3 linked regions of the Drosophila melanogaster genome follow. The gene in region 1 interacts genetically with each later gene. Each region holds a gene or a part of one and is shown on either strand. Other genes may lie near its edges. The genes, in order: Irc, Hayan and Cat.

What was found.
Region 2: of Irc (region 1) and Hayan, changing one suppresses a phenotype caused by changing the other (phenotypic suppression), as found in Drosophila melanogaster (one study listed by BioGRID).
Region 3: of Irc (region 1) and Cat, changing one suppresses a phenotype caused by changing the other (phenotypic suppression), as found in Drosophila melanogaster (one study listed by BioGRID).

What each region holds. Positions count from the first base shown.
Region 1 is NT_033777.3:16,998,779-17,009,033, reverse strand, and holds Irc (Immune-regulated catalase), read right to left. Parts: upstream 6,160-10,255; 5' UTR 5,959-6,159; coding exon 5,883-5,958; intron 4,831-5,882; coding exon 4,734-4,830; intron 4,567-4,733; coding exon 4,233-4,566; intron 4,169-4,232; coding exon 3,982-4,168; intron 3,865-3,981; coding exon 3,683-3,864; intron 3,611-3,682; coding exon 3,045-3,610; intron 2,930-3,044; coding exon 2,758-2,929; intron 2,701-2,757; coding exon 2,533-2,700; intron 2,459-2,532; coding exon 2,341-2,458; intron 2,285-2,340; coding exon 2,122-2,284; intron 1,952-2,121; coding exon 1,921-1,951; 3' UTR 1,826-1,920; downstream 1-1,825. Other genes in the region: CG8907 (uncharacterized protein), read right to left, coding at 106-164; Sf3a1 (splicing factor 3a subunit 1), read left to right, coding at 6,775-6,883, 7,006-7,170, 7,228-7,399, 7,461-8,923, 8,980-9,152, 9,214-9,384, 9,442-9,543; CG3534 (uncharacterized protein), read right to left, coding at 9,762-9,998, 10,058-10,247.
Region 2 is NC_004354.4:18,478,240-18,488,242, reverse strand, and holds Hayan (hayan), read left to right. Parts: upstream 1-4,470; 5' UTR 4,471-4,802; intron 4,803-5,599; 5' UTR 5,600-5,606; coding exon 5,607-5,688; intron 5,689-5,753; coding exon 5,754-5,934; intron 5,935-6,109; coding exon 6,110-6,886; intron 6,887-7,014; coding exon 7,015-7,082; intron 7,083-7,110; exon of another isoform or gene 7,111-7,177; coding exon 7,178-7,449; exon of another isoform or gene 7,450-7,514; coding exon 7,515-7,701; exon of another isoform or gene 7,702-7,758; coding exon 7,759-8,105; 3' UTR 8,106-8,260; downstream 8,261-10,003. Other genes in the region: CG15046 (uncharacterized protein), read left to right, coding at 26-197, 255-595; psh (persephone), read left to right, coding at 2,105-2,180, 2,247-2,430, 2,489-2,598, 2,664-2,947, 3,006-3,189, 3,248-3,594. UniProt on the Drosophila melanogaster protein: Serine protease which, by converting prophenoloxidase 1 (PPO1) into its active form, plays an essential role in the melanization immune response to physical or septic wounding.
Region 3 is NT_037436.4:18,818,741-18,830,349, forward strand, and holds Cat (catalase), read left to right. Parts: upstream 1-3,863; 5' UTR 3,864-4,045; coding exon 4,046-4,102; intron 4,103-7,597; coding exon 7,598-8,518; intron 8,519-8,615; coding exon 8,616-9,158; 3' UTR 9,159-9,448; downstream 9,449-11,609. Other genes in the region: HipHop (HP1-HOAP-interacting protein), read left to right, coding at 2,567-3,232; Indy (I'm not dead yet), read right to left, coding at 10,483-10,773, 10,839-11,217, 11,536-11,609. UniProt on the Drosophila melanogaster protein: Catalyzes the degradation of hydrogen peroxide (H(2)O(2)) generated by peroxisomal oxidases to water and oxygen, thereby protecting cells from the toxic effects of hydrogen peroxide.

The sequences.
Region 1 (10,255 bases):
CCAAAGTGGCACTTTAAGTATACGGGTATATGATAGACAGGTGTTGGCAATGCTTCAATCTATGAGATAGCCTCCTGTCTATCACGCTTGATATTTGATATTTACCCATACTTGACCGAAATGGGTCGGAAGTATTTCAGGGTCCTATTGCCTGCTTTGACCATTGCGGCGGTGTGTAATCAAAGCGTTCTGGTAAACTATTGATTCCCAATGGGCAATGCGAATCAGATAGATGGCTACCATTAGATACCTTTGCATTTAGAAGTACATAGGTGTACATATGTACATAGGAGAGTACCTATTTCACCTGTGTGGTAGCTACCTGTCCGATTAGATAAACGCAATTGGCACTGTGTTTGCGATTGCTTTGCTTTTTCAGTTTGCTGGCGTTACTTTATTTCTGTTTTGCAGTTATCACAAGCCAGGAAATTCTTCGCTCATGAAGCAATCGTTAATGGCAGCTTATTACATAAGGACTCGAATATAAGAGTTAATCGCGTATTTTTAGGCCGTGATTGTGGGTCAATTATTTACCGCCGTGTTTCGAGATTTATTTATTGCTTTCACTGGCATGACATCAGATCCTAAGATACAGATGTCTGAGACATATCGTTGGTATGTTGATTTACGGGCTTAGAAGAACCGATGGATTGGTTACCTTGTGTGCTGCCCACTGTGCTCTTTATTTATTTATTTGCTCTTTTTTCTCGACCCGATCTACAACTCTCGACCCGCTGTGAATCGAATTCCAACTCCAACTAACTGACGTTGGCTGGCCCAAAGGGAATGGGAATCGGCGATATCAGCTGGCTCATTAATTGATTGCCTGAAATTGCGATGGTGCGTTATCGCAAAAGCAAAAGTGTGCCTTATCTCTTGGTGCTCATAGGCACTTTTTCAATCTTATCTGGAAGCAGAGCAACAAATACAAATACGAATACCATTCCTTATGAGAGAGTCTGCTACCCTTGGGCCTTGATTTTGATATCGGCCCACTGTGGGATCGTATGAAATGGTCAGCAGTTGACCCTGTTACCAACAACAAATCTTACTTTCAATTAAAGATAGTAATTACTAGGAATTTCTTTAAGTTCCATTAACACATTACTTAAATAGCTTATTATTGATTGGCGAAAAAGTGAAAGTGTTCTTGAATAAAACTTAAGTATAAGTTTTATATCGCAAAAATGCATCTCTATGGTTGTTTTAATCTTTACAGAAATCATTAAAAACGTCTTGATGACTATTTTTCAAAAAACGGAAATGAAAATTACTTATGTCATGACGTGCGCGCATAATTTCGATCAATTAAATCTACATACAACTTACTTTATATCTTATTCTACTCGTATTATCATATCATGTATTTTGTATGTTGCCTATGAATCATTCCTAACTTAAGAAAGTCCTTCATCATAAATAAAGAGCTTTAAAACAATCATGCTTAGGGTCTGGGGTAACTATTTTATTCGTTTATTGGCCAATAACTTTTATTGGAGCAAATTGTGACATTCTTGCCTTTTAATGACTACTACTTCACGTAATAACAGAAAAAAGCGACCCTCATTACAGTTGAAAATGGGAATTGTTGAAAATGGAAATACACGTACCGCACTGTCCGCAACACTTTCTGCAACAACTTTGAGTATAGTAATATTGCGTGACTTTAACGATCCGCTTCTGAATTGAGAGTTATCAAAAGTGTCAACCAGACACAATTGATCTGTAAATTCATGTCTATGTCATGTAATTCTACCTGTAATTCGATGTTCCCTTAGACAAAACGTATAGTTAACAACCAATATAGCAATAAGATAATAAGAATCAAGATTGAGGTATTTAATGAGTTTTGACTCTTATATATATTTTTTTTTGGTTTGGAAACAATCTTAAATGTGAGCAGCGTTGTTTTGTCAACCTCTAGACGTCTTCACAAGAGACCATTTGATTTCTGTAAGGAAACGCGAAAGAAAAAACAATCATTAAGGTTGTAGATAATTTTGGTTGCTGAGCTTATCACTCCAGTACTCAGTATAATATCAAATGTGAATCAAATTGTGTACGGACTGTGACTCAAGCGAGTGACAGGTGATCTATTATGATTTTTTTTCCAATACTAACCTGGCCGATGGCAACTGGAAGATATTCTGGGGAACAGCTGAAAGGCCGGAATTCAGGCAAAGGAGTTTGGTTCCATTGAAGTGGCGATATTGCTCCACCAGTTCAGTGTGTTTTTGGACAGCTTTTTGCTGGTTTTGTTTCAGAACATGTACGAATTGCTCAGCTATAAGAAAAGTAATTGAGTGATATATATACATTTGCTAGCAGTATAACTCATACAGATAATGCAACTGAAGGTGGGGCCAATGGATCCATGAACAGGATTCTCCGAAATACCACCCACAATGAGGTCCACATCAGCCCAACTGGCGTATATTGTTTTCAGCTTATCCAAGACCTTGTTGAATGAATATTTTAAAATTATATTAAAAAAAAATTAAAATATAAATAATAAATAAATAAAAGACCTACATCACTGGGAATGAAATGCTCAAAATCTTTCCAGCTTTCTACGGGTCTGGACAACACACACGATTCCAAGTACCGATAATATGGCAGCAGACCGTGATCTCTCCCCCTTTGGATATCGAAGGCCAAAATATCGGCATGGGTTGGCTTGGTGTCCTTGTGCCAGACGACCTGTTAGTTAAAAAATGAATTTCAGAAGCTATAAAATATCAAAATCATTTGGCTTACACCACCGGAGTAGGCAGCGTCCATCTTCATGGTCTCCTGATTGAGCAAACTCTCAAGGATGTTATTCAACTTTTGGGAAGTGTACTGCAACTTTGGTTTGTAGATTTCTTCCTTGAGCTCAAAAAGGTTTTTAGTTGGTAGCTCCTTGCTAATAAACACATATTGGTTGTTTCTGTAAGAAAGTTAAATGTTATTAAAAGTTTAAAGATTCTGGCCAACTTGTCGTATTAGTAATTTATATGGAAATGAATTTCTTAATTTATTCTTCATCAGATTGTGACACTCACTTCTCAGTACCGTAGACTACGTTATCCTTGGTCAGATTTAGGAGCTCATTGGGCAGCATAGAGAAGTAAAATCGAATGGCAGCCACCGCAAACTCATTGGAGACCTCCAAAGCACGATTAGGCTGTTTTCTCCTAATCTCACTGGACATCTTCTGGCCGAGCACCTCTGGCAGCCACTCCTCAATGACCACTCGACGATATATATCCACATTGACTGCCTTGGCAGCTTGGAAGAGCTTTTCATCGCTCCACCGGGGATTCCTTTGCTTCAGCTCGGCAGCCACTTTGTTGTGATTGCGCATGAAGATCGTGTAGATCAGTATGGAGAACGGACTGCTATTCACCCGCGAATCTCCGGCAGCAAAGCAGGTGCCATCACCAATTGTTGCCCTGGCGCAGAACGATGGTCCTTCCGTATCGGTGGCGATGGGCAGGAGGGCGTTGTCGAATTCTCCACGAGGAGTTGACCTTAACAAACCGCCCTCGAGAACACGCAACTTTCTCTCCGCCGCTGCGGTGAAACCATAGAGTTGCGATAGATCCAAGGACCCCGTGGCCTGGTTGAGCTACATACATATAATAGAAGTAAGCAATCAGTGATATTTTTACATGGTTTTTCACAATTGAATTCTTCTTACTTGTTCGGCGCCACCGAAATTGCAATCAGCCACGGCCAGAGCACTTCGCACATAGTTAAGGCAGCTGGGCACGTCGTATTTCCCACCGGGCTGGTACAGAATCGGAGCACATGCCGGGTGGTGGTGACGCGGCTGAAGGTTGATCTGGTCACGGCTGCAGCACTCTATTGGGGCTCCATTGCCTGGGAACGGAGAAATCGTTAATTGAAACAATTTTAACAATATAAATATATAAATTGATATACTTTGGTTTTAAGTATGTTAAGTACAAAAGGAAGAGGTCATCATATGAAACTCACTCATTGATTGCGACACCGGCTTGCTAAGATCATGCTCCACAAATTGAGCCCACTGAGGGAGGGCCAAATTGGAATTGCTTTCGAAGGTTTGTTGTTTGGAGATCTGAATGTGATCGGGCTCATACAGCTCCTTACTAATGGACCACGCAGCCGGCACTGTTTCGCGTCTTCCGGAATTGGGAAACATCTAAAAATACCATATAAACCATTTAATTCATCTTCTACATCCTGTTTTTCTGAGCGGATCGCACCTGATAGAAACCGTTCCTGTAGTGGCTGCTCCCAAGTAGCCTTCTGAAAGCATAGTGACCCTCTCGATTTCCCTTGAGTGAGTTCTCACACTCAGTTCGCAAGCTACTGCCCTCCGGAAGTGGTTTTTGCTCCAGGTAACTGCGGCACTTGTCTCCATCGATATTATTAGGCAGGCATTCGCTGTTGAAAACGAGCAAGCTGGACTTAAGGATCTTCAGGGCGAGCTTATTGTCCTTCTTCGAAGCTAGGCTTGGTAAAGTATCCAGAAGTTGAGCGTGTGAAAGGCTGCCGTTCTTAACAGTGATATCGGAACCTAATAGATTGTCCTCCAGTCTGAAAAAATGGTTAAGTAATATTATGTAAAATATAATGTTTAAATTTAAGCCCGAATACGGAAATATAAGTCGCGCACCAAGTTCAGCAGAAAAGTGTCACATCCTAAACATATCAGCGTAAGTCATTAAAGTTAACTGGTTTTCAAAGTAATCAGTTGTACAAACCGCTTTTGCCTATTTACTGAGTCCAACGCCGTTTCTACATATTGCAACCATTTCGAAGCAGGAATCCTGTTTAATTCGGCATTAACATCTCGGCTCGCTGAAGATTCATAAAATGATACAAATGAATTGGTTAAATTTAAGTTTATTCAGATGGGTAGTTTAATTTATAATTTTCATTATCATCATTTCTCTTGGGAATCTCAATTTCTAGGCGCCGTTTTAAGTAAATTGACTCATTTAAAGAAAACATGATTTATATCTACGGTATAATTGAATTGTTCTGGAATATTCCACAAATTGTCTTGTCAACACATTAATCAAGACAATTTAAAAGTACTATATCAAAGGTAACGATACAATCATAAAAAATGGCCTTTTGTGAATGGTTTCTATGCAGTCGTATTGTTATTGAAAGTGTGAATACCCTATTAAAGAGATATTTACCTGAATACAGTATGCTAATTCAAGTGAAATATCTCTGCATCTTACTCGAAAAATAAACATCAATTATTTCTCACGCTTATAGAAATCTATTTGGATCCGATCAGTAAACAATTGTTGATTGGGAATTCTTATTCAGCGATAAGCCCTCATATATGCGAACCTTGGGGTGAGCTTTTGGAATTTATTGGAATCTTTATCAACAAGTATATGCAAATGGGGTTTTTTGAATGTAACAATTTAGTAATGTTTATTACAATAAACAAATGTGAAAACCTGGTAAAAACCAATGCAGTCATTCATGATGATATAACGCTTGAGCACTCGCAGAAAGTGGAAAGTACATTTTACATTGATCAATAAAACAGTTTCCCATTTCTGTATATATTTTTAATACTTGTACTTAATTACAGGCTAAATAGTGCGTAGTGATTGTGGAAATTTATCGCTGTGAGACGACCAGCCTCCGCTTTACGAATGTCTTTCTGCTTTATCAATTAAATATTTATATACTTCAATAAAGTTTTTATTATCATAATAAACCGAATAACAAGCTATAAAATTAATAGGTTTCCCTCTATTTGGTCTACTTTTCTACACGAAGAAGACTGTGCTCTCTTAAAAGAAATTAGCACGAGAATGAGATACTTGACACCAAAATGTCTCTATAAACACAGAGTTTAATTTAAATACTGCTAGCGGACTCACAATTAGCATCGATTGTTGTCAATAATGATGCTCCTATTATGAAAGCCAGCAGGCAGATGTACTGAATTCCACCCATTGCAGTGTCTTTGTTCTAGAACTCGGATTTTTCAGCCACCGGTTGTGATTCACAAAATACCCGCACGTCAATGGGATTTAAGTCACGTCGCTAGCTTGTGATAAGGAAGTGATCCGAACTGCGACTCTATCGGACCTAATCCGCGCTTTCAGTCCAATTAAACCGTGTCGACGGCTCAGCGATTCGTAGACTACTGAGCTTGGGGGCAAATCTCGACAGAATCGAGTCGATGAGAATGAGAATGAGTCGGGTCGTTATCACGCACAAGGGAACCTCATCATCTGGATAATCATCATCATCATCATCTGGCTATCGTGCTGGCAGCAGACTCTCTCAGCGAATGAATAAAGTCGTACAAACGTAAACAAATGTTATTTTTGTTTTGGCTTGGTGAATCAAGCCACCCGTACAAAGCCGTACCAACACTAACATAATATGCAAATAAAGACCTCATCCGTGGGGTTCAGTTCTGCCCACGCCTTTGTCCGTCCATCTACTGATATATATGTAAAGATTTTATAAGCCATTATTAACGCCTGAGTTGATGGTTTGTCCGACAGATTGTTTAAATCCAGCGCCAAATTAATCGATAGGCTGAGCCAGTGGTTCACTAGTTCCGGCTTGAAACTAGTTCGTTTATTGAGTCACCCTAACATTACTACATGAATGTAAGAAAACTATCGATGGCGGTGGCAACAGTCCAACGATTGTTCCATCCCTATTCCTTCCACCTCTAATTTTCGGCTAAACAAGCGTTTTCTCATTTCTCAAAAAGCAATCAGATTTTATCAATAAAAGAGGACGATTTCACCAGCCATGGCAACTTTAGACGCGGAAGCCAACGAGGAGCAGTTCGGCAATGATCAGCCCAAGTCGATGTCGGGTCCAATCATTGGGATTATCTATCCGCCGCCGGAAGTTAGAAGCATCCTTTGCCAAAAAGAAAACAAACTTTTTTCTCAATTTAGCCATTTTTTACTCAAAATACATTCATTTAATACACATTTAGCGTTTCCCATACTCAGTTATCAAAGCTTTAACTATTAGATATCGTTGACAAGACCGCCAGTTTTGTGGCTCGCAATGGACCGGAATTCGAGGCGCGCATCCGCCAAAATGAGCTGGGCAATCCAAAGTTTAACTTCTTAAATGGCGGAGATCCCTACCACGCATACTACAGACACAAGGTCAACGAGTTCCGCGAGGGCAATGGTATGTTTTCGTTCACTTCCCATTAATACTTCCTCTTAATACATGAGACCGTTTCAGATGCCGGTATCACTGCCCTTGCCAGCATGAAGCAGCTGGCGGTGACCAGTGCCGCCCAACAGCGCCAGCAAGAGCTTCTCAAGCAAGTGGTGGAGCAGCAGTTCGTACCAAAGGAACCTCCACCTGAATTCGAGTTCATAGCCGATCCGCCCTCCATTTCGGCGCTGGATTTGTAAGTGTCCACTCGCCAGGAAGTTCCAATCGCTGTCTTATTGTCTTGCATATCTTTTCAGGGACATTGTGAAGCTAACTGCTCAATTTGTGGCCCGTAACGGCCGACAGTTTCTGACCAATCTTATGAGCCGGGAGCAGCGTAACTTTCAGTTTGACTTCCTGCGACCCCAGCACTCGCTCTTCCAGTACTTTACCAAGTTGCTGGAGCAGTATACCAAGGTCTTGATACCTCCAAAGGATTTGCTGGGCAAACTGCGTTCCGAGAGCGCACCGGGCAGGAGCAGCATGAACCAGGTGCTGGAGCAGGTTAAATATCGGGCCAACTGGCAGCGTCACCAAGAAGCACAACGCCGCCGTGAGGAGGAGAAGATCGAAAGGGAGCGCGTGGCCTATGCCCAAATCGATTGGCATGACTTTGTGGTGGTGGAGACGGTGGACTATCAGCCATTCGAATCGGGCAACTTCCCGCCACCCACGAATCCCGACGAGGTAGGAGCCCGTGTGCTAATGGAAGAGCGTCTAATGGACGAAGAGGGCGATACAGAAATGCAGATCGAGTCGGACGACGAGGGCGACTCCCAGGCTAACAACCTATTGGACAGCGGTCTGAAACTCTCGCAAATGGAGAACCGTGTGGGTATACAAATGAAGAACGTATCGTCGTATGGCCAGCCGACTGGCCCCAAGAGAGACAACACCCAGGTGCAAGACATGGACGAAGCCTCTAGTGATGAGGACACTCCAACCACTAAGTTGCAGCCATCTGTTGCGCCAATGCTGCCGCCCACCCACGACAAAGTGGTGGTCAAGAAATACGATCCTAAGGCAACGCAACCGAAGCAGGCGCCAATGCCTACGGATGAGTATCTCATCTCGCCGATTACAGGAGAGAAAATACCGGCTTCCAAGGTCTCGGAGCACATGCGCATCGGTCTATTGGATCCACGCTGGGTGGAACAGCGAGACAAGCATACTGTGGAGAAAATCAATCAAGACAATGTGTTCGCCGCGGGCACTGCCATCGAGGCGAGTCTCAAGCAACTGGCTGAGCGTCGTACGGATATCTTTGGTGTGGGCGACGAGGAGACCGTCATTGGTAAGAAGCTCGGCGAAGAGGAGACGAAGAAGGACGATCGCGTCACCTGGGACGGACACACGTCCAGCGTGGAGGCGGCCACGAGAGCAGCACGTGCAAATATCACTCTGGAGGAACAAATTCATCAAATCCACAAGGTTAAGGGACTGCTGCCCGACGAGGAGAAGGAGAAAATCGGCCCCAAACCGGTGGGCAACAAGGCGACGCTTTCAGCTCCGCCGCAGCCGTCAACCAAGTCGCAGCACAGTCACTCCAGCCAGAGTCAACACCACCAAGGTGGCGGAGGTGGTCACCACGGGCATCATAATCCTCATCATCACCATCCACCGCATCAGCAGGCGCCACCTCACCAGTCGCACCACCATCACCCGCCGCAGCAGCCTCAACCGGTGATGCAGCTGATGCAACTGCGTCCAACCATGATGCGTAAGTAACAAATAGTATGCAAATCTCGTCGAGGGCTTAGCGTTTTTATTTTGCAGAGCCGCCTTTTGGAGCTGGTGGTGGAGGCTACATGAACATGCAGCCTGGTGGAATCCCTCAGCAAATTGCACCTGCTCCACCTGTTGATATAATGGAGGAGGAGCCGCCTTCTAAAAAGATTCGAAGCGAGGACAACCTGATTCCAGAAGCAGACTTTATTGCCACCCACAAGGTAAGTTTGATTTTGATATCTGGCTATCTATTGGTATATAACCCATCTTAAATTATTTCAGAGCCCTGTGACCATTCAGGTTTTGGTACCCAATTCCGACAAATCAGAGTGGAAGCTTAATGGACAGATGATAGCCGTGACCATGGCACTTTCTGAACCCATTGCCAATCTGAAGACGAAGCTGCAGGACGAAACTGGCATGCCACCGGCCAAGCAGAAGATATTTTATGAGGTAAGAAATACAACTAATGTTTCGAAAACTATTATTTCAATAACATCTATCCTTCAGGGAATGTTCTTCAAAGACAGCAATACCATGGCTTTTTACAATCTGGTAAACGGAACCACGGTGCATTTACAGGTCAAGGAGCGTGGTGGACGCAAAAAGTAGGCGGATCAAAGATTAAAGGCATACCAGACACAATAAGGAGTGGGCCATATATAAAAATTTATTTGTATATGGTTTCGCATAAATTTGTAATAAATCGTCAATCACAGAATTTGTTAATTGCACTTAAGTTCTGTCAATTACAGGAGACGTTTAAGAAGGAATCAGTTTGTGAATGTACGGAGTATAAACTGGAATGTTACGTTGGGCTTTCGGAGAGTTTATGTGTTAGGATTGGACAGGACGCGCGCCATTTCGCGATATCGTTGTAGCATTGGAGCGTAGATTTCCTCGCTGTCCTTGTGTGGTTCGCATACAAGGCTCAGTTTGTTACTTGTCAGACTTAGGATATAATCTCGGTAACAGAGAGGCGTCACCCCATCACCTGCCTCTTGAAGGTACAGAGCGTAGGCGGATCGATAAGCGGCTCCCAGTAGGGCAGCCTCAAATCCTTCATCCTGCAAGAAACATGTTGCTTAAATTGCTTGCACTTGAGAAACAGTTGGTATGAACTAACCTGGATATGGACGGGAGCATTGAACACATCGGCAATTGTTTGCAGGATTGATTTGTTAACAGATGCGCCTCCTGTGACAAGGATTTGTGTCTCGGGTCCGAATTTGTAGCCAAGGTCTTCAGCCACAGCCCGGTGATGCAGCATCTGACCTTCAACTAGGGCTCGAATTTCGATTTGGGGCGAGCTGAATCTATAAAG
Region 2 (10,003 bases), on another chromosome or scaffold:
AAATCTAAAATGTCGAATATTTTAGCGCCTGGTTCAATTTCAAAAGGATCTATCACTTATACGATTGCAGGACCCACTGCGTCTGGGCAGTCAGACCTCCGCGAATGTGAGCGTGGCTCCCATTTGCACCCAGTTCGAGCTGACCAGGCTGCAGCGTAGCGGCAGCCTAGTGGCCGTGGGTTGGGGCAAGGGTGAAGGTGAGCTATAGCATACTCATCCAAGGAGTTCCAACTAAACGAATAAAGCTCTTTCAGACACTGACTGTCCGCTGTTCGAGATGCCCATGCGACTGCGTCCCACATGGGCCTGCGGGGATCTACCCAATTACGGCGGAGTTCAGGATCTGGGCAGCTCACATCTTTGCGTGGAGCCGATGGACGGCGAAAGGGAGCTGCAGCGGTTCTCCAACAGCAGCACCTGCGCCGCCTGTCCGGCTTCCGTGGGCAGTGTACTCCATCTGGTGCGACCGGGCGGAGGTCGCTGCGTCATTGGGGTTGCCACGCCCACGGGGGCTGAGTGCGAGGCACGGACCATGTACTTCACGGGTCTGCTGAGTCCGCCGTTCAGGCGGTTTGTGGAGCAGGAGCAGAAGTAGTCATCCAGGTTAAGTTAGAACAATCTATGCAAATAATGTATAAATTGGATGAGAAGAACGCAGAAGTGAAATTGATTTCGCAAGCATCAGCTTGTGAAATAATTGGAGCAGCATGGTCACACTGAACACGATCTGACTGTACTTTTATGCCTAAGAATATACCAGTTAACATCTACCCAAAACCTCATTGTAGTAAGTAAATTAATATAAGAAACATTATAAATAAATTTTATATATTTATTACAATTCTCTCTGTTCATTCAAAAGTTAATAGAGTAAACAGCGCCTTCAAGTTACGTTTAGTTATTGCATAAATTTGCAAATATTTGCACACATGATGACTTTATTCGCTATTTGTTCGCATAAATCAAGCACTTGGAATTGTTGAAGGTCTCGTTTCGAAACAGTTACATCTTAAGTACTGCTCTTAGTTCTTTGATATACAAATTCAAAGGGAGGAGACTGTGTCATTACAGTTTGGACTATGCAGCATAAGAAACTCATTGCTAATTCCGCTGAAAAACGATCTCCTCTTATATTTATTTATGTTTAATTATTCATAAAAGCATTGCTCGGGTTTTCCGATTATTTCGGATCGGTTGTGGCTCTGGATTCAAGAATCTTTCAGAGATGAAAACCGGTTGGAGAGCAATCTATTGCCGCCTAGTGTGTAGATTGGACTAGTCACAGATTGGGATTCAGTTGCACTGGAGATGCTTTACTGAGCGGTCAGAACCGTCGTCCCAGCCTGACCGTTTCAATCCGCCGCGTCTGTGACCATATCGGTCAGATTCTCTCCGCCATAGCCACCGGTTTTAAAGCTCCATTGAGTTTACGTCGTGTGCAGTTTTGTTTTTGCTGGTTTCCTCGTGTTTTGCTTGATTTATTGTATTGTATTCCTTGTGTTTTTGTGCTGTGCTTCCGATTGCCATACTCGGAGTGATCGGTGCACTCGAAGAACATCGAAACAGCGACGTATTCCCTTATCAAAGTCTGGCAAAAGGTTGTGTCGAAGGTGGGTTCCGTGGAAGGTTCGTGCCATGAGCATAAGTCGTACAATCATACATGTGATTAGCTTATAATTACTGCAAGCTAGTTCAGCACTCACAATCAATAAGCGTAAGCGGCTCTATCCAAACTAAACAGCATTCTGTCCTTATCAGAAACAAATCCCCAACTCAGATAGTTTAGGAGGTTTTCGATATCAGCTATAAATACCCCTCGTACTGAGTGACAGAACGAAGATTACAGTCGCCAAAAAAAAAAGGTGAATCAACCGATCCAACCTTTCCATGTTATGTTTTCCGTTGGATGGTGAAATACTGCCTTGAAGAAAAAAATAATCTTGAGTTTTCCTCACCCACTTGGCCCTCCAATGCCAGGAGTGACTGTAGTTCATGTCTAGCATCTGTACTCAATAAGTTGGTCAATGGCTGCTGGTTTATTGTAATCAGAAAATCATGGCGAAGCTCATTCATTTACATTCTCCATTAATTGCAGCGAATTAAGATGCCATTGAAGTGGTCCCTGCTACTCGGCACTTTTGTGCTCATCAGCTGCTCCTCCGTGGAAGCAGCCGTCACAGGTGAGTTCCGATCTCAGCCAGGTCACATCAAGTATTTGCCCGACTCGAATCTTGCGTTTGTTTCAGTGGGTCGGGCCTGCAAGGTGACGGATACCATGCCCGGTATCTGCAGAACATCCTCCGATTGTGAGCCCCTAATCGATGGCTACATCAAGTCGGGAGTCCTGACGCTCAACGATGTGCCCAGCTGTGGCCTCGGCGCTTGGGGTGAGATCTTCTGCTGTCCCACCAAGCCGTGCTGTGACAATAGGTAATCCGCGAATTGCTTCCATTGGGATCACATAGAAATGGGTTGTTTGCCTTTGCAGTACCATAACAAGCGTTTCCACAAGCTCCACCACAAGCACAAAAGCTCCAATGACCAGTGGTCGTGTCGATGTGCCCACGTTCGGAAGCGGTGATCGCCCAGCAGTGGCAGGTGCTTACTCTTTTGATCAGATCACTCCTAGAGTTCCTCTACTTATTTCCAATCCCACGATATAGCCTGCAAGAAGATTCGCGAGCGAAAACAGCAGAGGAGCGGCAATCAATTGGTCATACACATCGTGGGCGGTTATCCGGTTGATCCGGGTGTATATCCCCATATGGCGGCCATTGGTTACATCACTTTTGGCACCGATTTCCGATGCGGCGGATCGCTAATCGCCAGTCGCTTCGTCCTGACCGCCGCACATTGTGTCAACACCGATGCCAATACGCCGGCCTTTGTTCGCTTGGGAGCTGTGAACATTGAAAATCCAGACCATTCCTACCAGGATATCGTCATAGTGAGTCACTGTGCTTATGCATTAAGTTATAGCCATTCTGATCGATACCATATCTCAGCGAAGCGTTAAGATCCATCCGCAGTATGTGGGCAATAAGTACAACGATATCGCCATTTTGGAACTGGAACGTGATGTCGTCGAGACGGATAACATCCGGCCCGCTTGTCTCCATACGGATGCCACCGATCCGCCATCGAACTCCAAGTTCTTTGTCGCCGGTTGGGGCGTCCTAAATGTAACCAGTGGGTAGCACAAAAAGTTCCATATCCTCCACTTCCACTAATGGCTAACCATCCGCAGCTCGGGCGCGATCTAAGATCCTGTTGCGCGCTGGTCTGGAGCTGGTGCCTCTGGACCAATGCAATATATCCTATGCGGAGCAGCCCGGTTCCATAAGGTTGCTCAAGCAGGGCGTGATCGATTCGTTGCTGTGCGCCATTGATCAAAAGCTCATCGCCGACGCATGCAAGGGCGACTCCGGTGGGCCGCTCATTCATGAGCTCAACGTGGAGGACGGCATGTACACCATCATGGGCGTCATCTCGTCGGGATTCGGATGCGCCACCGTCACACCGGGACTCTATACGCGTGTCTCGTCCTATCTGGACTTTATCGAGGGCATTGTCTGGCCGGACAATCGGGTGTAAAGTTGGGAAAAGTAAAGTTTTTGTTTTTTTTGTATGTATATTATTTCTATTTGGGATCAGGACTGCCTGATCCATCGCAATTGGCAAACACTCATCTGTGATCTCTATGAGCACCGCGATCGAACCATTTAATACCAATAAAGTAGATACGTTTTAAGATATAATCAATCGGTACAATATTATTTCTGGCAGTTCGGTTTCCAGAACTCTGTGAAGTGATTTTTCTGGTTCTGTTTAATTTTAGAGGGATTTCTGGGTCACCACTTTTATTGAATTGCTGCACTGTATAAAAAAAATGGGGAAATACAAACAGAATGCATTTATTTCAGAAAGATTTGTCATAAGAAATTTAAATTTTAAGCATATGTTTCAGACTATAAGTTGAAAAGGACTTCTTGGGTCACCACCTAGGTCGCAACCTAGGCAAGAAAGTAAGTATCTGGGTCACCACTTTAATTAGAGAAGAATTATACAAAAAAAAAAAAAACAAGATTACTGCAATTGAAACTATATATATGGTAAGTTCTAAAACACGATTCTGTGACACAATTATACTCGACTTTTAAAGGTGTAAATATCGGGGTCACCAAGCGCAGCATAGACCTTACGCGGTATCCTTTAGTCCATACCGCTCGCCTGTTGCTTACCCACTCGCTAATTACAGGCTGCCTTTGTGCTTTGTGTGCTCTGGCTTCTGATCGCTTCGGATCGTTCTGCGATTCTGCGAAGTGGTGGAATGGGAAACCGGTTCGCCGCTCAGCGGGAGAGGATCGGCTCTGGGTGCTATCAGCTGCTGGGTCCGGCGCTTCTTGGTCGACGTCTAAATGGGCCTCATCGGTTCCAGCTCCAGCTCCAGCTGGGGCTCAGAAGCTTGGCTTCAGTTGCTTGGGCGATGCGTTGCTGAGCGGTCAGAGCCGGGAAAATAGCCAGCAGATTCCATACCGCCGCGATTTGTGATAGCCACCGGTTTTTAGCTTTATTGACTCTGCTGGTGTGCTTTTTGCGGTGTTTTTTTCTTTATTTTTTATTTTTTTTTTTCGTAATTCCCTTGGATTTTGTTTTGTTTATGTGGTATTGAATTAAATTGTATTGTATTGTGCGGTGCCCGATTGCCATAGTCACCACAGTGCTCGACGCACTCAATAAACGACATCGATACGTAGACGTACTACTCCCTTATCAGAGACCGAAAAAAGGTCGTGTCAAAGGTGCGTTCGATAAGGCGGACGTCGGTGTACAGTGAACAGTGGACAATGGACATTGGGATTGCGGGATGTGGGGATGTGGGGCTATGTATTGCATGTTCTACTTTTGATTTCGTCGTGTTTACAATGGGCAATTACTGCGGAAGGCCGGAAGCTGATTAGCAATCGCATACCTATTTAATACAATTTCATTTGGGCCGATAACAGGTGATGTCATGACACTTTTGCATTGCTTCAATCGGATATATATGATTCAGTTGAACTGCAGACACATTGACGACTCTCTGCTCAATTGAGCAGCATAATTGTCAGGTGTTACTTTCGTATCGGTTATTACCGACGTAGCTGCGATATCAGTTGGCAGTACACGTCTTTAGCCGGTGGTAAAATCCCAGCGGCATGCCTCCCATGAATCATCTGATCTCACCTGGCGGCGCTGCTGGTGAAATGCTCGTCGTAATCGGCAAACACAAACTTTCCATCAACACAAAGTCTCTCAAATGAAATCAATCAAGTCTGGCTTACTACAATCGAGCAGTTCATATGGAGAATGCTTTTGTGGTGTTCCCATATTAAAAAAAAAAAAAAATCGTAAATGGGTCAATGGCAGTGGATGTGGATCGGTTTAATCAGCTGAAAGTCGAGTCGATTGAAAGAAACAGATCTCGTTTGTTTTTCCCTTACCATTTCGACGAGGGCTTCCCCTGTTGTGAAAATGATGTTTTCCATTTTCGGTTTTGATAAGGCTGATAAGCGTTACCAAGTAGAATGGGATTCACTAATGCTTTTGGGAATTTCAGCTGACCGATGGCGATGATCTCGGCGAGAAGGTACTTCCTTCTGGGTCTCCTGGTGCTGACAACTTCTGCGTATGTAACAGTTGGGGATGGTATGTAGGATGTCTTGCGGCGCGTACACTAGATCCTTGCCAGCTGGCCGCATTTCTCGTTGCAGAGGGCGATCCCTGCCAGGTGAGGTCGGACATACCGGGAATCTGCCTCTCCTCCTCAGCCTGCGAGAACATCAGAGGATATTTGAAGTCGGGCACGCTGTCCACCAGCCAGGTGCCGAGTTGTGGTTTTGGCGCCCGCGAGGAGATCATCTGCTGCCCCACCGTCGCCTGCTGTGCCACTGAGTAAGCGTGTCCTTGTCTCCTTGGCCTCTGCGCTCTATTGTCCTGTTTTTTGTCCTCCTGTTTGTGCACCATATATATGTGTTTGTGTGTGTCCCGCTTGTGCTGTGTGCCCACCGATGTTGCATGCCCCGGTTACCGGCGTCCAACGCCAGACTAACACCTCTCACTCCCACAGTCGAGGTCGTGAGGTCCAATTCCATGCTACGAGCTCCGAGCGCAGCAGTTTACCCGAACCCAAGCGGGAACCAACACCAGAACCGGAGCCACTGCCTCCAACGACCACCGAGGGGAAAAGGGAGCGGGAAAGTCGGCTGGACGAGAATCAGAACTTCTTTGACTTCAACAAGCTGCTAAGCACCACAGTAAAGCCGCAGAAAACCCACGAGTCCTTGAAGTTGCCCACACAGGAGTCGATGAAGACGCCCACTCACGAGTCCATGAAGATGCCCACTCACGAGTCAATGAAGTTGCCCACACACGAACCCATGAAGTTGCCCATCCAAAGCGTTGGAGCTTGGGGCATAGCTCCTTCGAAGACTCAACCCATTGCAAGCACCCAGAGATCTTTTATGGAACCGGAGTGGGGCCGTGAGCCACGGATTGTGAACCGTCCACTGACCACGCCTCGATCACGACCCCAAAGACCGAATAATTCCAATTTCAATACCAATCCAAGCCCCAATAATAACAACCTCATACATTTGGTCAACGATCGGCTGCGGGAGCAGGGAATGCAGATTGAGCCTGCTCGAGAAGTGCCCATGGTGTTGCAAACCACGCCCACGCCCACACCCGCACCCACGCCCACGCAATTGATCGATCCCTTTGAACCCTACCGATTTCGGGGCCAGGACAGAGACAAGGATACCCAGCCCCAGGAACCCTGGAACGATGTCAGCAATAATCTAGACGCGGATCCAGCTCCCAGCATCTTCAATCCAGCCGAGACGCGGTTTGTCTGAGCATTCTTTTGGCATGGACATCAGTTGGCCTCAGCCAGGGAGCCGCATGCAGTCTCTGTCTCAGGTGGAAACCATCGTGAGCCCAATTTTAATCGCTGATATACCTTGTCTTTCGCAGGCCAACGACGCCCAATCCCAATCCCTCCCGCGTCAATCTTCCCGAGAAGGAGCGACCGTCGGTGGCAGGTGAGTTGCGCATTCTTTGGAATATTTTATATGAAAATATCTTTGGAGATATATTATATACAATATATATTAAATTTCCTATCATCTGATGATAGCGTGTGAGAAGATCCGATCCGGTGGAAAGCCCCTGACGGTGCACATTCTGGACGGCGAACGGGTGGATAGGGGCGTCTATCCCCACATGGCGGCCATTGCGTACAACTCCTTCGGGAGCGCAGCGTTCCGATGTGGTGGATCGCTCATCGCCAGTCGATTCGTCCTCACAGCGGCTCACTGCGTCAATAGTGACGATAGCACACCCAGTTTCGTCCGTCTGGGTGCGTTGAACATCGAAAATCCCGAGCCGGGCTACCAGGACATCAATGTGGTTGGTATCGCCATGTGACACATGGTGCGAGATAACCAGTTGAACTCACTCACTTCCATTGGCAGATTGATGTTCAAATTCATCCGGACTATTCCGGCAGTAGTAAGTACTACGATATCGCCATTCTGCAGCTGGCCGAGGATGCCAAGGAGTCCGATGTCATCCGTCCCGCCTGTCTCTACACGGATCGCAGTGATCCGCCAGCGAACTACAAATATTTCGTCGCCGGTTGGGGTGTAATGAATGTGACCAGTAAGTTGTGTGTGCGTAAACTGCAGGATTGGATTGTGTTCGATGGTGTCTTTACAGATCGTGCCGTATCAAAGATCCTGCTGCGGGCGGCTCTGGATCTGGTGCCGGCCGACGAGTGCAATGCATCCTTTGCGGAACAGCCGAGTGCCAACCGGACGTTGAGAAGGGGCGTGATTGCCTCGCAGCTGTGCGCGGCGGACAAGAATCAGCGAAAGGACGCCTGTCAGGGCGATTCCGGTGGACCTCTCATCCTGGAGATTGACGACGTCGACGGCACCTACTCGATCGTAGGCGTAATCTCCTCGGGCTTCGGCTGCGCCACCAAGACCCCGGGCCTCTACACACGCGTCTCCTCCTTTCTCGACTATATCGAGGGTATCGTGTGGCCGTCGAATCGTTTCTGAGGCGTCATTTGATCTGCAATAAATTTAGTTTGAACGGATCGGATGGTGTTTCCCATCAAAAGTGTTTGATAAAGGTATTTTGTCTTTAGACAAAGTTCGACACAATTCAGTGAGTGTCATTAAAGAAGCCATAAGGGTTGTTCATTCAGTTCCTCAAAATGTTAGAATCGATTTTATTTTATATAATAGTGTAGTATAATAGTGTAGTATAATAGTGTAGTATAATAGTGTAATAGAAATTCAAACATCTGAGGCAACTAAGAGGTATCATAAGTGCCAAGCACTTTACCCACTGACGTTTTGCAGCAGCCCTGGTTTCGGGACAGCTGTCAAACTATCGCTGTCTGCGCCTCACCCGCTCGTACGTAAACAGAACTGAGAGCGCAAAAGCTCGCTGCGCGCGGCATTGCCAGGTGTGGCATTCGAAAGTTGCGACAAAAGCTGCTTACTGAGCTTTTGCAGTCAGCTGTTCGCCGCCGTTACAAAGTGCTGCCGGCTTACTGCGGCCAAACAGCCAGCCAAACACCACCCACCACCCACCACCCACCGACCCACTGGCCCCGTCCGCTCGCAGCAAACCAGCCCCCGCTCTCCCCACAAGGCCGCACTCCTGCGGGCAGCAAAAGTGGGAGCTGCTTAAATGGCGCTGCCAGGACTCCTCGGGCTTCAGTTGGTCGCGAGACTGCGAAGCTGTCGGTTTGCCTGCTCAGCGGTGAAGGTGCATTCCTAACGCACATAAAGTCTCGAATCCGTTGGAATTTGAACACGATTACCGTTAGGCGTTTGAAGTGTACCGAATCGAACTAAACTAAACTGAACTAACACAAGTCCCGAGTTCGCGTCGTGTTTGTTTATTTACTTTTATTTTTGTTACATTTTTTTTTTGAGTGACCACCGCCCGAATTCATGAGTCCGTCGGCCTGACCTGACCCCAAAAAGTTGAAACTTCCACCAAACAGTTGCAATCGTAAATGTAAGTCGATCTTTGTGTGCTTGTGCTTATCTGATGGACAGTGACTGTGTTTATCGTACGCCCAGTCCACCCACCATATGTATAGCCACTATCTATTTGGGTGGCATGTACTAACACGGTGGGAAATTGATTCCGGCGGCACATCTGTTTCCACATCGTGCCCGGCGATAACGTTTCCTGATCCGTTCGAACACAGCCCGGACTCGGGCGTAGGCGCACGCGGACCACACAACAGGTGCCAAGGCACCGGGACTAATGATTCCGTACTCCGTATTCCGTGCTCCGTATTCCGTATTCCGATTCCTGACACCCCGCCCCCGCGCATCCAGCAAATCGGCTAAGTCTGGCTAAGCCAACTTGACAAATGAGCCATGTCCTGGCATTCTCGCCGGGATTTCGGAATTACCTTTAGCATTCCCGGGAAATGGGCGCAAATCGCTTAGCGAGGTGAAATACCATAAAACAGTGCTACTCAGAATCGAGAAACTATTAGAATTTCAAAAAGAAAGCTTATACTAGTTCAAAATAGTTTTTTTTTAGAATAATAAAACTGTGACATTTTAATATCTCGATTAAATTTAAAACTATCTATCACTTGAAATATTTATTATACTATAATAACTAGCATTATTACTATAGTTAATATTATTATTATTATTTATTATGACTATAATTACTTAACTCATGTGAAATATAAAATCTCCTGATGTTTCATTAACAATCTATCTCAAACGGATGGAATGAAATCTTCTTATATTTCATTTGAAACAATGCAGCTGAAAATGCCAAACTGCAAACAACATAAAGTTTAAAGAGTGAAGAGTTGGCTTTTAAAAAGACAATTTATTTGTATCCTATAATGAAATTAGATGCATATTAAATGAATATTCCATTGCTTTTAACCCAATGAGTAATGTGACCGAGA
Region 3 (11,609 bases), on another chromosome or scaffold:
TACATATGTACCCACGTATACATTTAATATATGTCCTATGAGACTTTCTTGAATTGATAATTAGAAACTAATTTTCCATATTTTAATATACATTAATTTTCATTTTGTTATTCCATTAAAGGCCAGTGCTCTGCAGCTTAATAAAAACCATGTTAAAGCAAGAAAAAAAGCTTGTGATTTATCTTCGGATGAATGAAAATGAAAAGGAATAATCGTGTTCATTGAGCATCACCTTTTACCGTTAATTAGATGGCGATTAGACATGAAACACCGAAATTCTTCGACGAGCGTGAGAAGCTTTAAAGAAGAGCTTTGCGAAGGAAGAATGAACGAAAGAAAGACGAGAAGGCCGAGCAGCTGTTATCAAGAAAGTAACTGTAAATAAGCCACCTGTAGACATTTCGCATGCTCCAAAAAAAAATGAAGCGAGGCAACATGCCTTCCCTCCCTTTTCTTTTCTGTCTGTCTCTCAATATTAACGCTTTTGTTCGATACTTATGCCCACACTTTAATTAAAGCACGCACTTTTTTATAGAAAATCATCGAAATATTCAGCTTTGCTTCACTTACCTTGAGATTTTGTCCAAATATCTCGTTTCTTTGTTTGGCCTCTTTGTTGTGGTCCTAAGTACCGTTTACTGTTATATATTTATTGTAAACTGGCTGTGGTTGTTGTAATTCCTTGCAGCATTGCTTTTCACTTTACTTCACTAATGCACACACACACCACACACTCTCATATATGCAGAGATAGAAATGGGGAGACCATACACGAACGAAATTTCTCGTGCAGCAACTTTTTCTCTCTTTGCTTTCTTTCTTCTGCTTTATCTTTTTTTATTTTGTGTAAACCAGTATTTTGTGCCTTCTTTCACTTGTATGCTTTACGATGTTGTTGTTGTTGTCGTTGTTGTTTTATTCAAGAAATTGTTGAATAACGGTTTCTGTTAGCCGCTATGCTTTCGTGTTTGTTGTTGTTGTTGTCTTGAATTTCACTTTGCTTTCGCGTTTCACGCATTGCTGCTGCTTCTTCTTCTACGTCGCCGTCGTGTTGCTCCTTTTCGTATTTTACATTTTTTTTAGCCGTGGGAAACCTGTCCAGCAGCCTTAAAGCCGCTGTTTTTGTTGCTTTTCGTTTTTTGGCTAAACATTTTCATTGCTAAAAGAGCACTTGGGACTTTTATTTTCATAATTCATTTATCGCGCTGTAGTTGTGCGTATATTTATAAAGATAAAAGCAAGCAAACAGCGCAGCAAAATTCCAAATAAATAAAATTATTGTTGCTCAACGTTCATTGCCACACACACTCACACACGGCCAGACACTCACCAACACCAGCAGACAACGAGTCAGACACACACACATGCATACACTTTTTTTGGGGCAGCGTTTTTTGTTGTTTCAAGGCAACTTTATTTCTTGACTCTTTTTTTTGTATTTTCCTCCCCCGCAGGGAAACAAAGAAAATTTCACTTGTCTCGCACACTCACACCACGAAGCGCGCACACAGACACGGTGCCTTTCCCAAAGGAAATATTATTTAAAACATTTATTGACACAATTACAAGGTTTTTGCTTCTTTCGCTCGACGTTGTTATTGTTGTTGCTGTGGTTGTTGCCGCTTGCTTGCTTTTTTCTTGCTGTTGTTGTTGGCCTACTTTGTGTGTTGTTGCTGTATTTTTTCTCTCCTCTTTTTTTTGTTGCTCCAACTTCTCTCCTTTGCTTTGCTTGAAAAAATTTCACACGCGCCGTTTCTTTTTTTGTCTCTTCTCTTTACGTAAATTAGATTGCCATTTGAAGTTATCTTTCGAGGGATTGCACTTGGTATTAAGCTATATTATACATATACGTGTTGCACTACATTATATTTATAAAAATTATGTGTATTCGTTTGAAATTTTAATTGTGTTTTTATAAAAAGAAAATCAGACGAGACGAACGTATGAACAATGAATGACAAAAAATAACCTGGGTTTAATGGGCTAACATTTCGCGTCCAACAGCACGCTGAGTGCTGTTCGGCGAGCAGCTGATTTTGCAGTTTTCGGTATTTTCAGTATTAGTTGGTATAATTACAGTTTGATTTGAATGTGGTTTTAGGGTTTTAAAAAATGTGTTTTTAAACTCATTTTAATTGATACAACCAACAGAAGAAATACAGTCAATTTTCAAACTAACTGATATAACATAAGTATTTCATGAACATCGAACACGCCAATAATTAGATTATTGTCAATTTTAAACGAATAGTTTCTTCATATTAATTACTTAACTGGCATTACAATAAGCCACATTTAAATTGTGAGAAACTGTGACCATGTCAGTATGTTTTTAGATTTTATAACATTTAAAAAAATTGAATTTGTTTATTAGTTAAATGCATTTTATTTTACGCCTAATTTTGGTATATTTCAGCAATCCATATGTGGTCACACTATATGTTTCCAAAGTGGCGGGACAATTGGCTTCATGTTTCGTTTTGTTGCGTTTGGAAGTTAAAATGCCAGTGTAAGCATTGTTTTGTAAGCCCGAGTTGTGGAGAACTAGGTGCATGATCTATTCCAGATGGCCTCCATTGACGAGGGCTCGCGCGTTGAGCGGAGATTCTGCGCAGTCGGCAACCACACGCTGCGGAAGCCGTATCGCCAACTGAACAACAAATATTTGGTGCGCTTCGCCTGTTTGCTGAACAGCGAAATTCGGGCGGGCAACCTCATCTGCTGCAAGTGCTACACGGACCTGGTGCGACTCTACCGGAAGAAGAACGACAATGCCAAACGGCACAAGATGGCCAGGGAGACTGCCGCGAGCATTACGGACGTCAGCGGCAGTCAGTCATCGTCGCACCAAAGTGCGCCCTCTTTGCATGTCTCTGGCCAAAGTTCCGAATTCGGTGCCTCATACAGTGAGGGGGGCATTGTGACTCCCGATGAAGAGCTGTGCTCCCACAGAAGCTTAAGTCAAGATTCAGACAATGTGCCCACTACCAGCGCTGCAGCGATCCAAAAACGCCAGCTTGCGAGGGCAAACCTAATGGTGAAACCATCGCAGAGGCTGAGCTTGGCCCAGACTACTCCGGATTGCGACGACTACGACCCCAACTCGAATCTCAGTTTGAACGCCGTGAATGGCACGCGACTGCCGCACATTCAGCCGATTCCAAAGAGGCGCCCGACCGTCCTGGACAAGCAGTCCATGGATATTTACTTGATGGGAACCACAGGTGGTTAGGTGATTTTTTTAAGTTGTGACTAGAGAACAAGATACATATGCTAGTTGATGCTAGTTTCTAAGTTTCATTTAATTAGATATTTTTGTACGCTAAAATAAAGAAAGACAGAGATGTTAGCTTGGCAGGAGCCACAGAAAGATAGCCGCCATTTGGAGATTTCCTTGAAGTTTATAATTTTAACATGTTTAATGATATTTACATATATTATATGAATGAAGTACATTTATTTTAAAGGCACCACTGGAAGAGGTTCACAACTTAAGAAAAAAAGAGGCCATAGATATTTATTTGGCAGGAGCACCAATAGATAGCCGACTTAGTTTATAACTTAATGATGCCGACATTTTCATGAAATTAAAAAAATAAATAACTTAACAAACAGTTTAAATTTATTCACCTTTCTGGGCAGCAAATGGAGCGAAGGTACTATAAATTATCAATAATAAATCTTAATGGTGTTGGGACACGTTTTTAAATGGACAGTGCAAAAAAAAAACTTTGAAAATGAATTTCATACTATTTAAATACAAATATGAATAATAATGGATATTATGTAATATTTAAGCGATATATTTCCAACTATAATCGAAATATCGATATCTTCGGCCCACTCGACAACCCTGAGCAACAACAAGTACGTGGTGCTGGGCTATAAAAACAAATGGAACTGCGCTGCAGTTGCTTTAGTTGACAGAATTCTCGACGCAGTCACAGCAAAAAACCGAAGGCGGCTAGAAATCAACAACTTTCCAGTTCGAGTGTTTCTAAATTCTGGTTATCCCGTTGAGCAAATATCCTAAATTTTAAGCAAAATGGCTGGACGCGATGCGGCTTCCAATCAGTTGATTGACTACAAAAACTCCCAAACGGTGAGTGTGTTGGTGTGCGAGCGCGAGAGAGCGCAACTGCATGTGTGTGCGTGTGTGTGCCGGCAGGAAAATAAGAAAACAAGAAAGGCAAAAAAGACAAAAAGAGAAGGGAGAAGCATTGTACGAAATGAAATAAACAAAAAACAAGACAATTTCAGTAACGATTGCTATGAGCCTGTACTTTCCATTAATTCCATTAATTATTAAAATGCGAAAAACAACAAAGGCTTGTCCAACAAATGCCAGTAATGATGAAGTCGTTTCCCCAGAGTTCGAAGTTCAAAAGCCGCCTCTCTGGGTCTTCTATTTATTTGTAGAAATCTTATCAGAAGTGAACTGATAAACCTTATCAGTGTGGCAATTCTTATTGGATTTGTGTTTTCTGTACCTAATCCAAAGTTAATTTTATTTTCCCTTTTATTTTTATTTTCCTTCTTAAGGAAATCCAAAGTTTAGTCTAGCTAACCTATTTTCTAACCTTGGGCGACCTCTTACCTTAGTCTATTTTCATTTTTCAGCGCTGTTTTCACTTAGCACTTCCAATTTCATTTGGCACTTGCATTGTGCATTGGATTTGAGTATTCGAATTTGTTCGTTTGCACTTTTGTGTTAATTATTCGCTTTCGCTTTTGGTTTAGATTAAATGCATGATTTCAATTGTGGAATCGTGCCCTCTTAAAATTTTGAACAAATATTGTTTGTTCACACTCGGAAAATTGTACTTTCCTAAATTCGTGGCATTCCACAATTGCAACATTTTATACACTGCAATCATTTTTGAAATCAAATATGCTGTTACATTTTATAAAAAGGAATGAAATATAACAAAATCAATAGTAAGCCTCACCCATAGATACTGTATCTATATATAATTTACTCGGCAATTTCCCTGTGGTTTTCCCAATGCCCTCTAAAAATCGATAAATGAAATAATAATTCTGCATAGCTATTTGTCAGCCAGTTGATAGGCATCCAAAACAGCTAAGTAATTGGCCCAAATAGATTAGATGTATCAGCCGTATAGATATTGTTGAGTGCCCACATTTGGTTAGTAACTAAAGTAAATTTCCATTGGATTTCGATACTTTGTAAGTATGAATTGTCAGTTCTCAAAGAATACAATCATTTTTTGTTTTTTAATTTAGTATACCTTTTTTTTACCCTATTCAATTAAGGCTAAATCTAGAACTTAGTTCTCGCATCAGCGATTTAAGTGCATTTGTGCATTGAGTCACGAAGCCAATTACTCCACTAACTAAAAGCAATCAGCGGTCATTATTTTATATAAACAAATATAGATATGAACTTTTTGAGAAACGCGATCGCTGGATTGCACCGCTTGTAAGTTGGAAAATTCGTTGGGAGTCAATGGACTCTGCGGCGACCGGCTCAATGTTGCACAAACTGGTTGCAATGCGCATCGACTGCGAGTGATTCGAGTGACAACGAACCCGGCTTTAAACCCGTTTTGGGTTGAGTGCGGAAGGCTAGACCGCTTCGGAAAATGCGTGTGCCAGTGCCATAAGTCAACGCAAATTTTCTTTCTCCAATTTGGTTATGCAACCTGGCTGGAACGCCCGGCTAAAAGCGACTGTATGTGAGAATATGTTTCGAACTGACCCAGAAAAGAGAGCTAGCTCCACAGTTGGTTGGTTGGTTCGTGTTGTTTTAGTCGATTTTGACCTTCTATGACGAAACTGTGAAAACTGCATTCTGTCAGGCAATTAAATGTTTGCCTTTGTTTCGGTGAATAATCATGGCAACTGGGTTCTTTGTTCTTTTGGGAATCTCGCAATCGAGTTAATTTGTTATCCAAGAAATTCGAAAATGCAAGGAAAATACTTGGAATATTTTGCAACGCAATGCATATTGCGTAAGGTCATTGTGAGTCGGTTAAGAACCCTATAAAAATCCTTATTTAAAATCCTTTAGCTTATTTTCTATGCATTCTCATTCTCGAATGAGTAACCTTCTGCTGATAAATTATGTCTAGAAGGCAAATTTATCTCATACTATCAGGTGCACTGATCTTATAAAGCCGCCTCATTAAGTTGCTGTTTGCCATCTTTGTGTCATTGGCATCGCCAACAAGTTGCAATTAAAAACTTTCCTGTAGACTGTGTTCTTTGCATTTCTATTCGAGATCGGTTGCGGTTCTCTTATCAGTTTGCTCTTCGCTGGAGATATCTACAACCAAATACATACATACATATATAAGAACGAAGGCTCTGATAGGAACCAGATTGACTTGTTGGACGTGGATCGCAGTTCCAGCGGTTCCACTCGCATTGTCATTCCCGGTTTGCTTCACTTATCGTATCTGCCCCCTGAAGTGGCCCCATATTAATGTCTCAAAGTGCAAAACATTCCGGCTGAATCGGCCGAATCTAAAGGGTGACTCCAGTATAAATTCCAGAATGATAATTTCGAAATTATATTCATTTCTTCGTTTTTATGTAGCGCTTTTTGTTTGTCAATAAGTGGGTATACTACTGGCCTGTCTAAGCTGATTTTATTATTAAATAGATACATATATACTTCTAGGAACTAAGATTTGATAAAGTCAACTACTAATTCCTTAAACAATTGTAAAAGTCTTAGTGCCCAACCGGGTAATCCCAACCCAAGTGCTATATGTATCTAAATGACTTTGTTGTGAAATATAAACAGTAGCTTAATTTATATGTTTGACACACCACCACCACCACCACCGGTGGCTTCACTTTGATAAACAACCTTCTGTATAAAATTCTATATGCATTGTTCTAGAAATGCTTTCGAATTAGAATTTCGCATGGCGTTGTTCAGGTTTCAAATACATTAGCTAAACAGTGCGCATTGGCCGGTGACAGTTTTGCAAATTGTTGGCTGAGTTAATTTTATAATGAGTGGCTGGCCTGCATGCGAAATAAACGATAAGGTGATTAAGGAGCGGTCTCGGATTACTCTAGGGAAATGAATTGAAAACAAGGAGTATGATTAGATCGACTGATAAATGACAGGACAGCTGGTGGGCTAATTGATATTTCAGATGGACAATACACTTTTATTAGCTTAATGGAATGAAATAATTAATTGATCGCCAGCTAATAAACTGTGTAACATCATTTTGATGTTTGAATACTTTCATTTAATTGGTTTTTTCCTTGCACACGGATTTGATATCTTGACATGTTAATGCAAAAAACCCATACATCATCACTATATTAAGGCCTCAAGCTCTTAAGAACACCTGGGATCTCTTATTTTAAATTTATATGCACTGCAAAATGACCCCCCGTGTAGAGATAACGCTCTGCAATCTTTATGTTAATGTTTTTTTCTTTTGGTGAAAATCGAATGATTAAATGAAAGTCCGCGGGCCAAAAATGAATTATCGCAATAGGCCCGATAAGATTGTAAGACACTTGAACCAATATATTGTTGCTGAATGTTGCATAGCATTTTAAAATTAAAATACATTTGATTAAACTTGACTTTCATTTGCTTTTGCAGGTTTCTCCTGGTGCCATTACCACCGGCAATGGAGCACCCATTGGAATCAAGGATGCCTCCCAGACGGTTGGTCCGCGAGGACCTATCCTGCTGCAGGATGTGAACTTCCTGGATGAGATGTCGCACTTCGACAGGGAGCGGATTCCAGAGCGTGTCGTGCACGCCAAGGGAGCTGGTGCTTTTGGTTACTTTGAGGTGACCCATGACATCACCCAGTATTGTGCCGCCAAGATTTTCGACAAGGTCAAGAAGCGCACTCCACTGGCCGTGCGATTCTCCACCGTGGGTGGTGAGAGCGGATCTGCGGACACCGCCCGCGATCCTCGAGGATTTGCCGTCAAGTTCTACACTGAGGATGGCGTCTGGGATTTGGTTGGCAACAACACGCCGGTCTTCTTCATTCGCGACCCGATCCTATTCCCCAGCTTCATTCACACCCAGAAGCGCAACCCGCAGACGCATCTGAAGGATCCGGACATGTTCTGGGACTTCCTCACCCTGCGACCGGAGTCCGCTCACCAGGTGTGCATCCTGTTCAGCGATCGCGGCACCCCCGACGGTTACTGCCACATGAACGGCTATGGCTCGCACACCTTCAAATTGATCAACGCCAAGGGCGAGCCCATCTATGCCAAGTTCCACTTCAAGACGGACCAGGGCATCAAGAATCTGGACGTGAAGACCGCCGATCAGTTGGCTAGCACTGATCCGGATTACAGCATTCGCGATCTGTACAACAGGATCAAGACCTGCAAGTTCCCCAGTTGGACGATGTACATTCAGGTCATGACCTACGAGCAGGCCAAGAAGTTCAAGTACAACCCCTTCGATGTCACCAAGGTCTGGTCGCAGAAGGAGTACCCTCTGATTCCTGTGGGCAAAATGGTGCTGGATCGCAATCCCAAGAACTACTTTGCTGAGGTTCGTTTTTTTTTTTTGTTTCAAATAGATTCTTCTTCATTTGAGATTAATGCAATCAAAAGAAAGATAACTAATATGGTAATTTTCTGACCCTCAGGTGGAGCAGATCGCCTTCAGTCCCGCTCACCTGGTGCCCGGCGTTGAGCCCTCTCCGGACAAGATGCTGCATGGTCGTCTGTTCTCCTACTCGGACACCCATCGCCATCGCCTGGGACCGAACTACTTGCAGATCCCGGTGAACTGCCCGTACAAGGTGAAGATTGAGAACTTCCAGCGGGATGGAGCCATGAATGTGACGGACAACCAGGATGGTGCCCCCAACTACTTCCCCAACTCGTTCAACGGTCCCCAGGAATGCCCCAGGGCCAGGGCCTTGTCCTCCTGCTGTCCGGTGACTGGAGATGTCTACCGCTACAGCAGCGGCGACACCGAGGACAACTTCGGCCAGGTCACCGACTTCTGGGTGCATGTGCTCGACAAGTGCGCCAAGAAGCGTCTGGTGCAGAACATTGCCGGCCATTTGAGCAACGCCAGCCAGTTCTTGCAGGAGCGGGCCGTCAAGAACTTCACCCAGGTGCACGCCGATTTCGGTCGCATGCTGACCGAGGAACTCAACCTGGCCAAGTCCTCGAAGTTCTAAGCTGAGCGAGCGGATTCGACGGATCAGACTTGGTTTTTGGCCTTAATTACGATTAATCCAATGGAACTAATTATTCCAACACCAACACCACCACCACCAACACCACCCATTCCGAAATTGACTAAGAAAGGCGAACGCTTTTCGGATCTTTGGTTGCGGGCTTAAATTGATTTAACCACGAAATGTGTCTTGTCTTGTTTTGATATTCAAAATTGTTTAAGTCATAAACAAATTACACTTACAATGTATATGTATATGCAATGAATATATAATAAATTCTTTATTTTTTGATATAACTGTTTGGAGATTCTTTAATTTTTTGGGTCACTTATAGTCGAGCTCTTAATTCCCATTTAAATATTTCTTCGGTACCCTGAGAAATTACTACTTCGAATGATTGAACTTAATCTTAATCAAATTTGTTCCTATGAAATATACATCAATTTAATACTTTTTGTAATGATATTTTTATTACCATTATCTCCTATGAGTAAAATGTTTTATTTCTCCGTAATTTTGTAAAAATATGTATTTTATTTGATGAATTGAAATTTCAGCTACAAGTGTCCAGTAGATGTAAAACTGTGCCAGTGAGTCTTAAACCTTTTCAGTGAATCGCGCATCCCTAGCAGGGCGAGTTATCGATTAATTCGAGTTATCGTTATACGAAATGCATGGCGCGCTTTGAACATCAAACAAAATAAGTTATTGAAATAAACAAACGTATAGTATTATTGTCGTTTGAGCTTTTTATTATTTAATATTTTTTACAAACTATATAAAACATAAATCATCTGAAAATGTACACAGTATCATTTAAGCTTAGCCTACCGCTATTTGTGTGTTCATTTTGGTTCGCAATGAAGTATTGAGTGAGTTGTTCATTTAAAAATTTTTACAAGTTGAAAAACATGTATGAATATGTAAGTTCTCTCAGTCTAGTTATTTAAAATATTAGCAGGCCAGGGCTGCCATTGAACAAACTGTTCTAACTTTTCCAAATCTTTTCCATTTTTATGCTAAATGCAACAATTAAGTAACATTAATTTGTATTTAAATATTTAGCTGAGTGCGTAGACCAGGTGTTCAATTCCTGATTAACAGTATATTGCGATACGTTTTTTTTTTAACACATTTTTCTAAACAGTAGGTAATGCTTTTGTATCAAAACTTTTCGCAACTCTGAAATGCAAGTATACATAGTTAAATATTTTTCACATTTTTCGCTGTCAGCAAAGGCACTTTTCGTTTAAAATTCCCTAAATTTTCCTCAACTTTATCGCTGTGACGGGTATGTTAGTTATTTACACTAATTACTAACTATCTAGTGCGTCTTGTTTCCCAGTGCTGCCGCGGCATAAATCTGAGCCCATTCGGGGAACGAGTTAAGGTTCGGATAGACGACCAGGCCCCAGGTTTGGCAGAAAACAAACAGGGTGATGATGGTAATGATGGTCGGACCGATTCCAGCAATGGCCATGTCCTTCGTCCTAATGTTGGCATAGCCAGCAACCAAAGCGTTGGGCGGAGTACTAACCGGCAGGTGGAAGGCCATACTGCAGGCCAAGCCAGCGGGCAGGATCAGGTACAGAGGATGGATCTCAATGGCCAGGGACTGAAACAGAAATAAACTCATTTAGTACACAACGTTTCATACAAAATGCATTGCTTTAAACTCACCATCTCGGCCAGAACGGGAATAATAATGTTGGCAATCGCCACATTGGAGCTGAAGGCGGTCAGGAACACAGCCACCAGGATGACCACCAGTAAGAGGACAGAGTTGGGCAGAACCTTCAATCCAATCAGAGCATTGCCAATCAGCTTGGCCATGCCGCTCTGCTTGCTGCCTTCGGCCAAAGCGAAGCCACCGCCAAGCAGGAACACCAGACCCCATGGCACCTTGGTCTGGATGAACTTCCAGGTGATCAGCGATGGAGTGGGACCCGTGGGCACTGGACCACCGCGTCTGGTGCAGTAGCGTAGGAAAGCATAATTGGCGGGCAGCATGAAGCACATGACGACGACAAAAATAGTGGGCATAGAGTTACGAATGTCCCTGGAAAGAAGAGCATGTACTTAGGTTAAGTAAAAATATAACTCGCAAGATTAATTATGAGTAAGAGCTAAACTTTTTTGGTTTTCCCACATCTTAAACCATAAATGTTCAGAGAAATACTTGAAAAGTTCCTATAATTTATGTAATTGCTCATAATTCAATATGATTTATATTAACGTATTTCGAGTGTTCTAAACGAGAAATTAGCACGAATAAGATAAAAGGGACGGGTTTAACCAGGAAAACCAATAGAGTCGGGCTATTATTATAATAATATAAATATAATTATAATATTATATGTTATAAATATCAACTTACTTGGAATTCAGCAAATCGGCCCATCCCAAAAAGATGCCGGGCTTGCGGGTGAAGTACATCACAACCATAAAAAT